Drosophila melanogaster: one gene and its partners. The protein of the gene in region 1 interacts with the protein of each later gene in a pairwise test. Each region holds a gene or a part of one and is shown on either strand. Other genes may lie near its edges.

Region 1 (4,020 bases):
GCTTCACTTGCCCGCTTATCTGTCGTCTGGGCTGCGGGGACAACCCTTGGAGTGACAATTAGCTGTTGGCCTGGGAAAACATTTCCCACAACTCGGTTCGATTGGGGGAGCCCACATACGTGATATGGTAGAGGGATCTTTCATAGAAGCGAAGCCAACAAGTGCAGGTCCCCGAGAGGGTAATAAAAATATGTCTCCCTATCGCTTCGCTTGTCCCGGGCTAATCGATACTCGATACGATCCATAATTTATGTGCTACGCGTCTATTTCTGGACTTCCGACACTCTCCTATCGCTTGAGGTCTTCGAAAGCTGAAAGTTTTGGCTGAAAAAGATCTGGCTCTGGAATCCCAGCCAGCCGTAATCCCTGTGACCCACTGATGCCAACGCATCGTTGGGCGCGAAATGTGGAAGAGTTGTCAATGCCACGCGGTGTGGCCCCCCGAAGAGCGCGCCAATTTTCACCGCCCGACGTCCCACCAACACGCATAATTTCCCACGCTCCCGGCGGGAAGTGTTGGAATGGGCGGGGAATGGGGGTTGCGTAGCAGGGGGATTCACGAGGGGGAAGTCCTGACAAGTTGTCAGCGGGGCTGTTAATGAGCTGCGTGTGTTGAGTGAAAACGTGATGAATCTACACTGCCTCGGCCCACTTGTGCCTGCCCAGAAATGTGTAAGTAATCCCCGAGTTCTCAAAGATCAGCGAAGATCAAAACAAGATCTTAGATTCCAAGTCATGGAACGCTTAGCATAATAGCTCACCTACTTGTGGGAAAACTTTTAGAAGTGCATTTAATCGTTAGAAATGTTTTACAGTCGTATAAGGTAAATTATTCATCCCATTCAATAAAATACATATTTTGCATAAATTATTGCAATTTTATAGTTTTTTTTTTTGGAAGTTATGTCTCCTTAACTACCCACTGTACTAAAGATCTAAGGAAAATTGACTTTATAACAGAGATAGAGAGTATAAGCTATGTTATACCCCCTTATTTAAAGTCCAAGCTCAGATACCCTGCAGTAAGGGTATGCAAAGTATTGCAATTTGCGCACGAGCAGACAGCGACAACTATTTGATGATCTGGGGATCGGAGCAAAGTTCTCTGGCACACAACATGTGTCGACTCCCCTGCCACGCCCACCGGTACCGCCCCCCGGCCCAGTGTGGCGTTTAATAGCTTGCCTCAGCAGCTTGCCGCAATCGCGTGCACCAATGGTAAGTGGGGATCGAGCGTGGGAAACGCGCCCTTGCCGTAATCCCAAAAAAAGGCCATTTGAAAAGCACAAGTCCCTTCGCAGAAATATCAACAAAAACAAGGCAGCAAATCAGATACTTCAGCTGGCGCGGAAGCCATCGCAGAAAACCAAATAAACAGAAGCCTCCAGAAACAGATTCTCATCGGTTTTGACACCAAATGAAGTTGTATAATAGTCGAGTGCACGGGAAAAAATATTCCAGAACGTGAAGAAATATTTTAATTTTATATATCTTGAATAACATAAAGAATGGTGTTGACAAACACCACAGAACATAAGTTTGTAAATTCATACAAGAGAATTCAACTTGTATCTTAACTTGTAAAATTAGCTATACTTTCAAATAAATATTATATCTCCAATCATTTTTTAAAGTGCAAATCAATTTGTGATTGAGATATAGGCATACAGGGATTGTATGGTCCAATATATCTGGTGTCTTCTGGTTTTCTGTGAATTATTTGGAACTTCCCCAATTCGCGTTCCCTTCGAGCAACCAAGTATCCCAGTAACCAGCAACGTTTACTTTTCCGATTCCTAGGAACCCCAAGTAGGTGTCTTTAGGCCGGCGACAACTTTTGCCATCAGCAAATTTTCCTCAATGAAACACGCATCGTCTGCAGTCGACATCGCTGCTTCGGTTGCGTAAGCTGTCAGAAATCTGAGATGGTTAATGCAAGGTAAGTAAAAAAAATAAAATGCGACTGAATAATACCTCGCAGTATTTAGTACTAAAGACCAAAACAATTGTGAAATACGAAAGATGCAAATTGTGCAAAGTAACTGTAAAGAAAACCAAGGGATTCATATATGGGATGAGCCCATATTTCCGTAAAACTAATATGCCCTGAGCCGTGCTACTTAGGGTGTATCTAAGCTGCCGCTGCTGCTCCAATTCCTTGGGCCATTCAGTCGCTTAAGATCCGAAGGTGGAGCTGGGCCAGGCTTATGATGGCACGTCCCGAGGAGCAGAAGTCTCATGTTGGAGCAAAGTCACGATCTCATCAGTATCGAGAGGTTTTTAAGCCAATGATGGAGAGGAAGAGGCGGTCACGCATCAATCGCTGCCTGGACTTTATTAAGGACCTGCTTCAGGAGGTGTCGCATCTGGTGAGTGGTCTCACGTTGACCTCTGACCCATGGTCTTCTTACTCATCTCAGCTCGTAGCAAAATGATTTTGTATATTGTATCTCTTAAAATTGATACAATATAATATGTTTGAAATGTTTGCATACAGGACGGCGAGACCATGGCCAAAATGGATATGGGAGATGTCCTGGAATTGGCAGTTCACCACCTGAGCAAGAAAAACTGTCCGGTGGCCACGCCCACCACAGCGCCTACATCCGGAGTATATCAGAGCCCAATTGATTGCTATTGGAGTGGCTTTCGAGAATGCGTCCTGGAAGTGTCCCAATTTCTGCAACACAACGGCTATCAGCCGAGTTTCGAATTTGCGAAAGAATTGGATCATCTTGTGGCCTCCACATCCAAATCCAAGCCAAATCTCTGGAGGCCCTGGTAGTCGTCATGGGAAATATCCACTTAAGTTCCTCAACTCACAATTTTTAAATAGGATAATTATAAACTATTTAGACCCAAGTCCACTAAAGACAGTTTTACAATAGAGGCATGAAATAAAACTGCACATTCGTTTTTTGCTTTAAGTTTATCTTTTTCTTTTCGCAATAATTCCAAAAACTTGTTAGGTATGTGGTTTGTGTGTAGAATGTAGAATGTGTGTAGTGTAAGAATGAGTTTCCATTGGGGGTTTAAGTTTAGAATCGTTTTAATTGTTAATAAACATTGCTTAATGCATTCGAATGCTAAATTAAGTATTGCTTATGTTGAATATAATGCACACAAAGTAAGATTTTCATCTGCTGCTATCAGTATCGTTAACGTTATATCAATGTAGTAGCTTACTAGATACCCAAAAAAAAAATACATATCAATAGAGTAGTCGAGAAAAGGTGTTCTTTGAGATTATCCTTAAGCTTATTGGCTTTTTGTTTAGCAAATACGTGTGAGTGAGCATGGGATTTTCTTACAGTCTATGCTGAATTTTTTTGTCGGGACCCTCAAACTTTCCGCCTTTGTATGTACAATACGAGTATATGTATGTAGTTCACAATAATTTCGAGTTTGAGTGTAAGAAGCGCGAAAATTGATTGTTGCTGCAGTTTGTTTTAGTTTGGTTTTCCATCGACCTGCTGATTTGTATCTGTTGCATATATGTATAGGTATACTCAAAGTTTCGTATATTTAGATATCGATATCTTCTCAGCTTCGCTTGATTTACTCAGTTTTTATTTCACTTTTTTTTTTTTGAGGACAGGAAGGCATGCAATTTTGTGCAGTGTAGGTGTGAGTGTCTTCTTAAATTCAAATCGTTTCCAACAATAAATCTATGCAAAAACAATTTGCAAATTGCACAAGTAAAATACAAATGGGGACTTCTATATAATAATAGATGTATATATAATTATCAATATCTGTGTGTGTGTATATATATTTATATATATATATATATACATATATATATTTCTCTCTCTCTATACATATATATATATATATAGGTGTGTATATCAATTTATTTGGCCATTATCTAGGTATATTTAAATACGAGTGTACAACTAGAAATATGTGTATCGGGTGCTGGGCAATCAAAAAAAAAACATGGTGGAATCCTCGGAATCGGATTTGGAATCGGAATATCGGTGTCAGAGAGGATGAGACAAGCATTATCTAGGGCCGATC
Region 2 (4,900 bases), on another chromosome or scaffold:
ACCCTCTAAAACGCACAAGTAAATCTGTTGCTTATGTTAAAAAAATCCAAAACTGTTTGTTTACGGGGGTCACTTTACCATTCCTAACTCCACCCCATAGAAATCCCAGCTGGACGCACGCAAAACACACATGCACTTGAGCCTTTCACCGCTTTCTCCCGGAGAAAGGGTTGCCAAAGGATGAAGGATACGATATCATGTGTGGACGCTCGAGCAAACAAAAGTGCAAATTCCCGGGGGGACATTTGATTGAATTCAGACAGTTAACCGTCCTCATAATGCGCATTTTCAAAAAAAAGAAGGAAATCCTTTGGCTTCTGCTTATCTGCCTGGAAGAAAAATATCAAAAAATTTTAAAATCATCTTCAGGGGCTGGGGAACAGTTTATTTGGCAAATGGTATTTGTTCTTTGCCAGTTCTTGCCTTGATTGATATTATTATGGATCCGTCCGTTCATTGATTGATGGTGGACGGCGCTTAAAAGAATCTTCTATTTGGATTTTGGAAAATTAAAAAGCGGCTTAGCATCAGCATCCTTTTCCCCGTATTATTCGCCATACAAAGCGTATTAAAAATGGAAAGTTGAAAGATTTCAGTAGTCTCTTTTTTTCAAGCCTCGCCCAAAGGCAGATTTTAAAATCAGTCGGGTGGCGCCACGCGACATTTTTTAGCATCGATTGTATGAGTCCGGAAAACCGGAATGAGAGAATTTCAGGAATTATTCAGTGTCGTTTGTGTGAGAAAACGACTTTGATCTCTGCCGCCGGTAACCATTTCAATCTGTTTGGTTGAGGGGTAAAAGTGGCACTCATTTCAAGGTGGCAAAGTATTATCAACGATGATTAGGTCTATTATGACTAGCAACGGAGCGAAAGTTCTGGGTAAATTAGCAAGTACTATACATTTCACTGTAAATGATTTTACATTTACACTTAACATTTCGTTGTCTTGTTTTTCGCTGTGTTAGGCTCCATTTGTTATAAAAATTATATATGAATTAAACTCTAGACGATAAAATGTAATATTCTTTGGGTTTGTTTTGCTAAACCACAAACAGACCAAAATCTGAAAATAAACGTTTTTGAATTGTTCATCCCATCACTAGTTAAAAATGCGTATTTTTCCATTCAATAATATTTTTATTTCATGCCATTTGCTTTACTTAGCTTAAGTTACATTAAATTGCTTAAAAGAATGTGTAGTTTGGAGTATTTATGTGTGTAAATATTTCTACTTTTGAACTTGTACTATGTTTATGCTCGTTACGCGAAGAACGCCTTTTCATCGATTTATTTCGCATGGAATCTTAGCCACATATTGCTTATAAGAATAGATCTATAAACTAGATTGACACGTACACAGCTTATATATCGACGGCAAAGTAAATATAAAAATATGTTTCAATTTTAAAAAATATATTTCCATATATATTTGCTAAGTTTAAGAAGCACTCTACCTAGGAAGTTGAATCATTTAAATTTCCCCATAAATAGACACCAAGAGAGTTGTTGGTAAAAAAGTTGTAACTATTTGTAGTTATAGCATGTAGAATAGTTTGACTTATCAACTAAGTTGGTTTCGATTTGAAAACTAGCGACTGCTTACAAAATTTTGCTTTTATCTCTTGAGACAATTTTCCAATATATGAATGTTTGGATTTTTCGTTCACTTATTCTTGCACTGGGCCGACCACCTACGAGAATCTAACTTATTCAGTTAAACAAGTAAAACTAACTTAAATAAGTTTACTAAACAAATACTTGGACTGTAAATTTTTTTAGCAAAATTATTTATCACATTTGCGCTTATCCAAAGTTTTAAAATTTTGTTGTATCCCGACGGATAAGAAACTATGTGCTTAATTTCCAGCAAAGAAAATACATGTATCAAAAGTTAATCTTGTTTTAGGGTTTTCCTTGGGAAATTGATTCACATTTCTCTGTCACTGTCTCGCTCATTCTCTCTCGAAATTTTCGGGCTGCGCTAGTTCTCACCAACGTAAAGTAATCACAAGTTGCGCTTTTAGGAGCCTTAGTTGGTGCTTAAGTTGGTTTTCGAAATTTTTACTGCGCCTGCGGTTGTATTTGAACGGTGGCCTTTAGTTTGCTGGATTTTCCGGACGACTTGTGCTGTTGGTAAAATTGCTTCAGGACCTTGCACATGGTGATGGCCAGGAATTTCCAGGCCAGCAGTTGCTCCTCGGCACTCGGAGGCGCAACTGGCTCACTTGTTGCTCCTGGTGGCGGGAGTTCCTCTGCTGCAGACGGAGGTCCTTCAAAGTCCACTTGATCATGTCCGGGGTCTATGGAGAAAGCCATGGGGCTATCGACTTGATCGCCACTGGGTTCCGATTTCGGGGCGTGCTCTTCTTCGAAAAATGGAATGGCCATATTTGAGTCGCTCAAAATGTTACGTAAAAATGGCACTTGTTAACTTCGATGTGTGGCAAGGTATTTCCTGATTTTCCAGATCTGAACTCTTGGCGAGTTGTCGTACGACTGAAGAGCTCAGCCAGCAGGACGCCCGTATTTATACCCGGGAAACGGCGGGAGAATTAGCTACCCTCTGTGCCCGCTTTCTCTTTACCATCTTCCCTCCCTTTTTTCCTACCTCTCTCTTTCTCTCTTTCTCTCTCTCTCTCTGTCGCCCTCTCTGTGATGACAATATCAACTTTCATCACGTGCAGTAAACGTTTCCTCAAACAAAATGCAGAGAGCGTCACACTTGTGGCATGTTACATACGTTTTACCATTACGTTACTTACCCCGCCGTTACGTTTGAAGCTCGAATTTATATGGGGTGGTTTTCCTACGTTTTTCGAACCAGGACAGGAAAGTTTTCGAAAATGAAACAAAACAAATTTAAGGGGAAAGAATTTATTTTTAGGAAGTCGAGCTAGAAGTACCTAAGATAAATTATTTTCATTAAAGCTAATTTTATAACAAAGAAATGGTAGAATGATATATATTTCTTTTTAAAGCTAACATATGCAAATTTTAAATTTCTGAATTTTCGAACAGCAAAGGGGAAGTAGTCGAATGGCTTATACAAAAATTCGATGTGAGATTTTGCTTTGCTTTGCCTTTTCTTCACTTTTCTTGCCTTGGCTTAGACGTGACCTTGACCAATTTCCTGTTTGGCTTATTTTTCCTGTTTTTTTTGCGTTTCTTTGCCAAGAGTTTTAATTGTTGATACAAATTAAATATAGAAAATTTTTTCCAACTTAGTAAGCATTTATAAAATATGACAATAAAATTGTAACATTTACATCCAAGCTTTGCAAGAATTCGTACTATATAAGTACTAAACAAGACTTAAAATTCCTCACCCGACTATTCTTGTACTTGAAGAAAATCAATTTACCATCCTACAACTCCCTATGACCGCAAGAACAATCGGTTAACATTTTGTGAACCGCATGCCAGGAATTTTTATAGAGTAAAGGAGTGTCTGTTGAATCCTTTTTACCCTCCGACAAATCAATTCCACAAATCAACATAATCAACTTCTCGCCGTAAGTCCAAAATATAATGCACTCGCCGTCAAAAAACTTCTTTTGTTACCCACAGAATAAAATGGGTTTGGAGCAGTGCTGAATAAGAGAGAAAGCTGAAATAAGTGCCGTAAAAAATGTAAAAACTTTTTTATAGTTGCTGCATAAAAAACGTAAAATAAAAACCCAACCGAAGAAATCTACGAAAGAATGCATAACAAAAGAAAATCACCTTCGTGGGCGTGCAGGTGAGTGGGCGGGGTACCAAAAATGATATCCCCGCGATGATAACCCCGAGAAATCAGAGGAAAAATCCATGATCTAATTTGCTAAACACTCGAGCAAAATCAGCGGGGCTCGCCAAATCACTTACATATACTCGTGTACCTGCAAAACTCACTCACATTCTCAAAGGCAAAACAAAGAAAAGAATTGTTTTCGCTTAAAAGAACATTCAAATGGAAATGTTCTGCTTGGCTCAACACAAACAACAAGTGCAGGCGCACACACAAACTGCATTTATTTAGTTAGCAAACAAAATAGAAAAAAAAAGTGAAAAGGAGCAAAGTGGGATCCAAGGGAAGAAACGCATCGCATCGAAAGAGTGGCATTTGAGTACCCCAGACAGTCAGACAATGCATATATATGTATGTACCACCCATATCTATAGGTATACGTATAAAACTGAAGTGCGGCGGGGCATGTGCAGCACACGAACAACGAAAAAGACGGCAGGAAAAAATTACAAGGAAGCAGCACCCAGAAGAGCGAGTTTCAAGACGAGAGTGATGAAAGGATACCCTATTCTTAAGGATAATAATTATGAAGGAATGCCTTAATATGCTTACTCTAGATTATCCTTATCAATACAGTTTAGCTACTATCAAGAGTTCGCTCTAATTGGTAAATGGATAAAAACAAATGGTATATTTGGCAAACACAATATATTGTATTAATTAAAAAGAAATGGCATGGAAATAAGTATCGTTTGAAAATCGCAAATCAAAGATTTGATAGAATTTGTTGATTTTGAAATAATATCCAATTTAAATGTAGTTGTTGAAAATTAAATTTTCTTCGTTCTTTGATTTATTTTGAATTGAAAATGTTGTTAAAGCATTAAATATTCTTAACTTCGATGACAAGGTCACGTACACACATTCGTGTATGTACTCACTGGAAGTGAGTCTCAGTTTTTCCATTTTCGGATTAATTTCCCAAAGTCTCTGCATTGTATCCAACGTATTGCCAATCGGTAGCAGCCATTATAGGGTATTTACCTTTCCAGAACGGATACAACAGAAATTGCAGCATAAAACGTTGCATCGTTCTCATCACAGGGGCACTTTGTTGCCTTCTGTGTGTGTGTTTGGCTGTCAGATTGATATTAAATTATATACCTTATTA
Region 3 (5,303 bases), on another chromosome or scaffold:
TGGTCAGAGAAGCCAAAGTCCGATCAACAGAAGATTCCCCATACACTCCAGTGTACCGTGTGCACCAACATCAAAGATGGCGAGCCCGAGATCAAGGCTGAGAACTGGCCGCCCAAGCTGTTGATGCAGCTAATGCCCAAGCACCTAGTTGGCAATATTGGTGGGCAGTTTCTCAAGGACTCGAAAATGGTTGTTTTTCGACCCACTCCAGGAGAGGCACTCGATTCGCTGGCCAAGATGATGACCTCCGGCTATGCTGGCTGCGTCCACTTCTCCTCCATCCCCAACTCACCAGCCTGTGACCTTAAGGTTCTCATCCTACTCTACACGCCCGATCGCAACGCTTTTCTGGGCTTCATTCCCAATAATCAGGCAATGTTTGTGGAACGTCTGCGCAAAGTCATACAGCAAAAGCAGCACGGCAACATGCAACAGCAGCAGCAACAGCAGCAAATGATGCAGCAGCAAGGCAAGTCGCCCATGGAGCTGCAGCAGCAACAGCAACAACAACAACAGCAGCAACAGATGCAACAGGATAACTCGCAGCAGCAACACTACAACCAGTTCCAACTCAATATGCAGATGGGTGGTGGAGGTCCTGGCGGCGGACCTGGTCCCGGTCCCGGCGGCATGCCCATGCAACAGAATCAAATGCAGATGAACATGATGCAGCAACAGCGAATGCCACTGGGCGTAGGTGTTGGCGTGGGTGTTGGTCCCGGTGGCGTGCCCAATCCAAACCTCCAGCAGCAGTTGCAACAAGTGGCGCCAAACGTCGCCGCAATGCAGCAGCAGCAGGCGCAACAGCAGCAGCAGCGCATGGTGCGTCCCATGATGAGCAACAACAACCCGGGGCTGCGCCAGCTCTTGCAGCACCAGACCACGCCAGGCAATCAGTTCCGGCCGCAAATGGGTGGCCAGAATCCCAATCAAATGGGAGCAGGCGGTCCAATGGTCGGCAATCGCAACTTTGACGACGGAAACTATGAGTTCATGTAGGCTACTTAAGAGTATCGTATAAAAAACCAGAATTAAGACAGTAAAATATTTTATAAAATCCAACTGCAAGTCTTTTTTGGGGTAGTGGCAAAATCTATTTCCCAAAATCGAAATATTAATTTCTCCATTTTCATAACATTTCGTTTATTTAATTAGTAAGAATCAAGGGAAATCCGAATTTGCACAAGACTTATATTAATCACAGAACATAATCTCCGAGAAAGTCCACTAGTTTGCTCCACCGCCGCCGCCCCCCGAGGATGCGGAACTTGCACTTCCAGCGCTAGCGGCAAACACCTTGCGAAGATTCTGCAAGATGCTGAACAGAACCGTTCCCGCGCTGCCCAACGTTTCCAGAACATCGAATCCGGTGCTGTCGATGGCTGTCTCCCGATCCTCCTCCGTTTCGATGGCCGGGGAGCTGATGTTCCCGCCATTGTGGTGAGTTTCGTGGACGCCATGGTGTCCAATCAGCCGATGAGTATTGCTCTTCACATGGGAGTCGTTCACGCCGCCACCGCCAACTGTGTTTATCAGGTGCTTCACCGGCTCCAGGACCGGAATATTTAGCTTAATGCGATGCCATGCATCCGCAGTTTCGGTGAAGCCCTCATGCTGCTCGCCAGTGGCCTTCATCTCATCATCCAGCTGGTTTCGCTCGCTGACCGGATCGTCGTCCGTCTCCAGGGACAGCTCCAGACTCATGTTTCCCTTACCAGGCAGTTGCAACAAACTGCCGAAGAGCTGTTGCAGATGCGCCGAGTTGGTGGCCTCCGCCTCATTCTGCTCGAAATCGAACTCTTCACGTACTCCCGACTTGGGCTTCTGGTTCACAAAGCTGGTCACATGCAGCATTCCATTCTTGGTGCCAGAATCACTGGAGTTGGTGGGCTTGGCGGACGTCGTCGTCGTCGTCGTCGTCAGCAGTAGCAGCCACAAAAACTGCAGATACATTCGGAGAAATGGAATCTATAATTGGCGCTTAATGACCGGCTGCACGTACGTTAATGAATATTGAGTATGACCGGTAATAAGGCTTTCTATATTCAAATCCCAACGCGCACGCGTCACTGGACCTTGAATTTGGTTGAATAAGATATGGCTGCTTTACAAATCAAAGATGAGGTTTCTAAGTTATGATATGTGCCCATCTATACACTTAGAGAAAAAACCGTTCTCAAAGATCTCGATTTGAAAATTTTGATCTCAAAATTCTGCCAAGATTGAATTATGCTTCGATAGAGATCGATCCATTCTTAGATTACAATTGACTTTGCTCTCATTTTGTCAGTCTTTCCATTACGTTCCTTTTACACAATCATAAACCTGATACTTCTTCCCTCTGAAAATATTAAAATTGAGATCGTTTTCGTCTCGAAATCAAGAAGAAATCTTCTCATGATTTATGATAAATGCCACTGAGTGACGTTCTTAATTTTTCTGGGTGTATGGTGGTTGCTTCAAAAAGTCATAGGGTCCGATCGGAAGAGGGTCTGATTATATTCTTACTAATAGCCAGAGATTATAGTTTAAAGTTTTAAGCAAAGCTTTGTGTGGTTATACCTTGTATACGAAGGTGATCCCTAATGTGCAACCAAACTCTATACTCTATTCATGACCTACACCATTTTCTTGAATAGTTAGCTCATGAGTCACTTATTTGTTTAAAAAAAACCCACATTATGAATTTAGACATCGCCAAGTTCCCTAATTATCGGCAATGCCAAGTGTTTGCTTACATTAAAAAACACAATAAGACATATGGAACTACTAAGTGTGGAGCTGGCCAATCGCAACATTGTCAATGGAATCACGGATCTAGCTCTTGGCTAGAAATCGAAACTAAAACCGAACCGAAACAGAAACTGAAACCGCTGCCAGCAAAATCAGAAATCGAACTGAGGCACCAATTGATTGAGTGGGTGACCAGGTGACTAGTGAATCAATTAATATGCAGCAACGGTAGGGGCAATTGTGGTACCTAAATTTAATTCAAAATGCATTTAGAGGCCCCCAAAAAAGTCGGTTCTTCGAGTTTTTGGAGTGACAGCATTTATGGGATTATATCTGCAGCAAATAGGTTGCAGTAATCTTCCTTATTTTCAAGGACTTGCCAAACGAATCGATTGTGGAATCTTATAGAAATTTCGGGAAAGCAGTAGGCTAGCGAATTTTAGTTCATAATCTCGTTTGGCTTACTGGCCCAGTCTGAAAACATAGCCCAGTGCTAGTACACAACCTTTTGTAAACCTACAAAAAAAATTCCACCAAAATTCAAAATTCAAAGTTTTTAGTTTTTGGCCTTTCAGCACAAGTGAAAAATTAAGTAGTATGCGCTTATTTGGCAGAGTAACCAACATTTTACAGGTACAGTACATTTGAATTAAGGCTAAAACCTAAAATCAGTAGGCCCTTTACTTTTACGTTAGACATTTGGTTAGCTTTTACACCATTTTTCCTTGCTACGTCTTACACTACACAACATTTTGGTTTCTTTCCTTTCTCAAAACTGAAATTCTACCGTGTGTTAACTTATGTATTCCTGAATCAAGTCAAAAATTTGTACATAAAAAGAAAAAATGCCAGGCATATTCGGGAAGTTCCCGACTAACCGTCTCGGACTTAATCTCCTCCAGATATCTAGATGCGTTAGCTACCATGCTCCGCTATACCGACCGCGCAGCCTACTCCATGCAGAACGGTTGAGGCAACTATGCACCAGTGCCTCCTCCGGATCAAAGTCTAGCCGGAGGACGAATCATCCGTGTCGCGTCCGGGTGCAGAGGTACTCCCAAAAGGGTAGCAATGTGTTCTCGGTCAGCGATAACGTGGATATGCTGCGCAAACGGATTAGCTTTTCCGGCAACTCGAGCAATGCGCCCAAGATCATGCCCATTGGACTGATTACACCGGAAACGGGTGATGGCAAGGATCTGAAGATAGTCATTGTGCCCTTGGATCTGTCTGGCATGGATGGCAACGAACTCAAGGACACGCTGGAAACCATCAACAAGTTGCGCTTGTACGCCAACCACATCGAGACCTTCTCCAACAGCATGGTCGAGGAATACGGTGCCTTGAACGAGGCCCTGCAGGAAGTGGAATCGGGCGGTCAGCCCCAAGAAGTCAAGGCCGGGGCGAGTGCCGAGGACCGCAAATTTTGGGAGGCCTTCCCATCCACGCCAACGGCGGACGCTGTGGGAACCGCACTGGATGCGGGTCAGGGTGCCAACATGCCAATGCAACGCCAGACGGCAGTCAATAGTTGCCTGCAAAACGCTGTGGGTAACTCAGCTATCAACTCTGCTCTGAAAACCACCAAATCCATGTCGGCCATGGCCCAGACGGAACCCATCCATGGCTCAACCAAGGCATCTAATCTCCAAGAGCTCGCCAACCAAGAGAGCGACTTCGTCGAGGAGGTGCGAGTGGATGTGCCGCAGGATTTGAGCAATCGCCTCAACGATATGGCCGTTTCGTCGATGGAGCTGTCCTTCGAAATGGATATGACCAATCTGCGGCAGGCTCTGGAAAGCAAGGACAAGAATGCAGTAACTCCACAGGATCCCATGATCTGTATGCACACAAAGGTGGAATTGGATGCGCCTGGCACTGTGGAGAAAACGCTGCCGCTTAGGTTCAACGCCTTGATCTCGGGCGTAGTGGAGATCGATACCCAGAAGTTGAGCCCCGCCCAGATAACGGAGGACAAAATGCCCGGCTTCAACGATGACCTCACCTCGCTGGCTGCCAACCTTTGCAGTACCGCCTTGGAGAAAGGTTTCGCAGGAAAATCCTCAGATACCTACATCGCGGACCTGGAACTGACCAAGGATGAGGAGACTATTCCTAATAGGATCATCGATACTTCCCATATGTCGGCGGCTAATCAAGTTGGTCAAGTGCGGGAATCCCTGCAGAAGATAGCCGAGGAAGCGTGTGCCATGCCCGGCATTCAGGAGCAAGAGGTGCCAGTTCCGGTGGACAAAGACGGCTGCAAGCATCCGCCCGTGAAACCCAAGCGCAAATGTCCTGGAAAGTGTCCTCTAATCACAGATCCCTGCAAGGAGGATCCCTGCGAGCGGCCTGCAAAGAAGAAGGCACCCAAAAAGAAGGCGTTGAAGACCACTGAGATCACGTGCAAGGGAAAGGGCGGCGGAAAGAGTGCTTGCGGCAAGGATAAGAAGAAGGATCCGTGTGGCAAGAAGGACACTAAGAAAAAGGACCCTTGTGCTAAGTTCAAGTCTGGCGAGAAGAAGGATCCGTGCGCCAAGAAAAAGGATCCCTGTGCCAAGAAGAAGGCA

What was found.
Region 2: the proteins of Hesr (region 1) and skl interact in a two-hybrid assay, tested with the Drosophila melanogaster proteins (one large-scale study listed by BioGRID).
Region 3: the proteins of Hesr (region 1) and CG17190 interact in a two-hybrid assay, tested with the Drosophila melanogaster proteins (one large-scale study listed by BioGRID).

Annotation. Positions count from the first base shown.
Region 1 is NC_004354.4:18,203,308-18,207,327, reverse strand, and holds Hesr (HES-related), read left to right. Parts: upstream 1-2,183; 5' UTR 2,184-2,207; coding exon 2,208-2,369; intron 2,370-2,497; coding exon 2,498-2,785; 3' UTR 2,786-2,925; downstream 2,926-4,020.
Region 2 is NT_037436.4:18,437,438-18,442,337, forward strand, and holds skl (sickle), read right to left. Parts: upstream 2,506-4,900; 5' UTR 2,391-2,505; coding exon 2,064-2,390; 3' UTR 1,124-2,063; downstream 1-1,123.
Region 3 is NT_033777.3:20,010,653-20,015,955, forward strand, and holds CG17190 (uncharacterized protein), read right to left. Parts: upstream 2,853-5,303; 5' UTR 2,799-2,852; coding exon 2,739-2,798; intron 1,942-2,738; coding exon 1,228-1,941; 3' UTR 1,124-1,227; downstream 1-1,123. Other genes in the region: MED25 (mediator complex subunit 25), read left to right, coding at 1-999; CG4836 (uncharacterized protein), read left to right, coding at 3,579-5,303.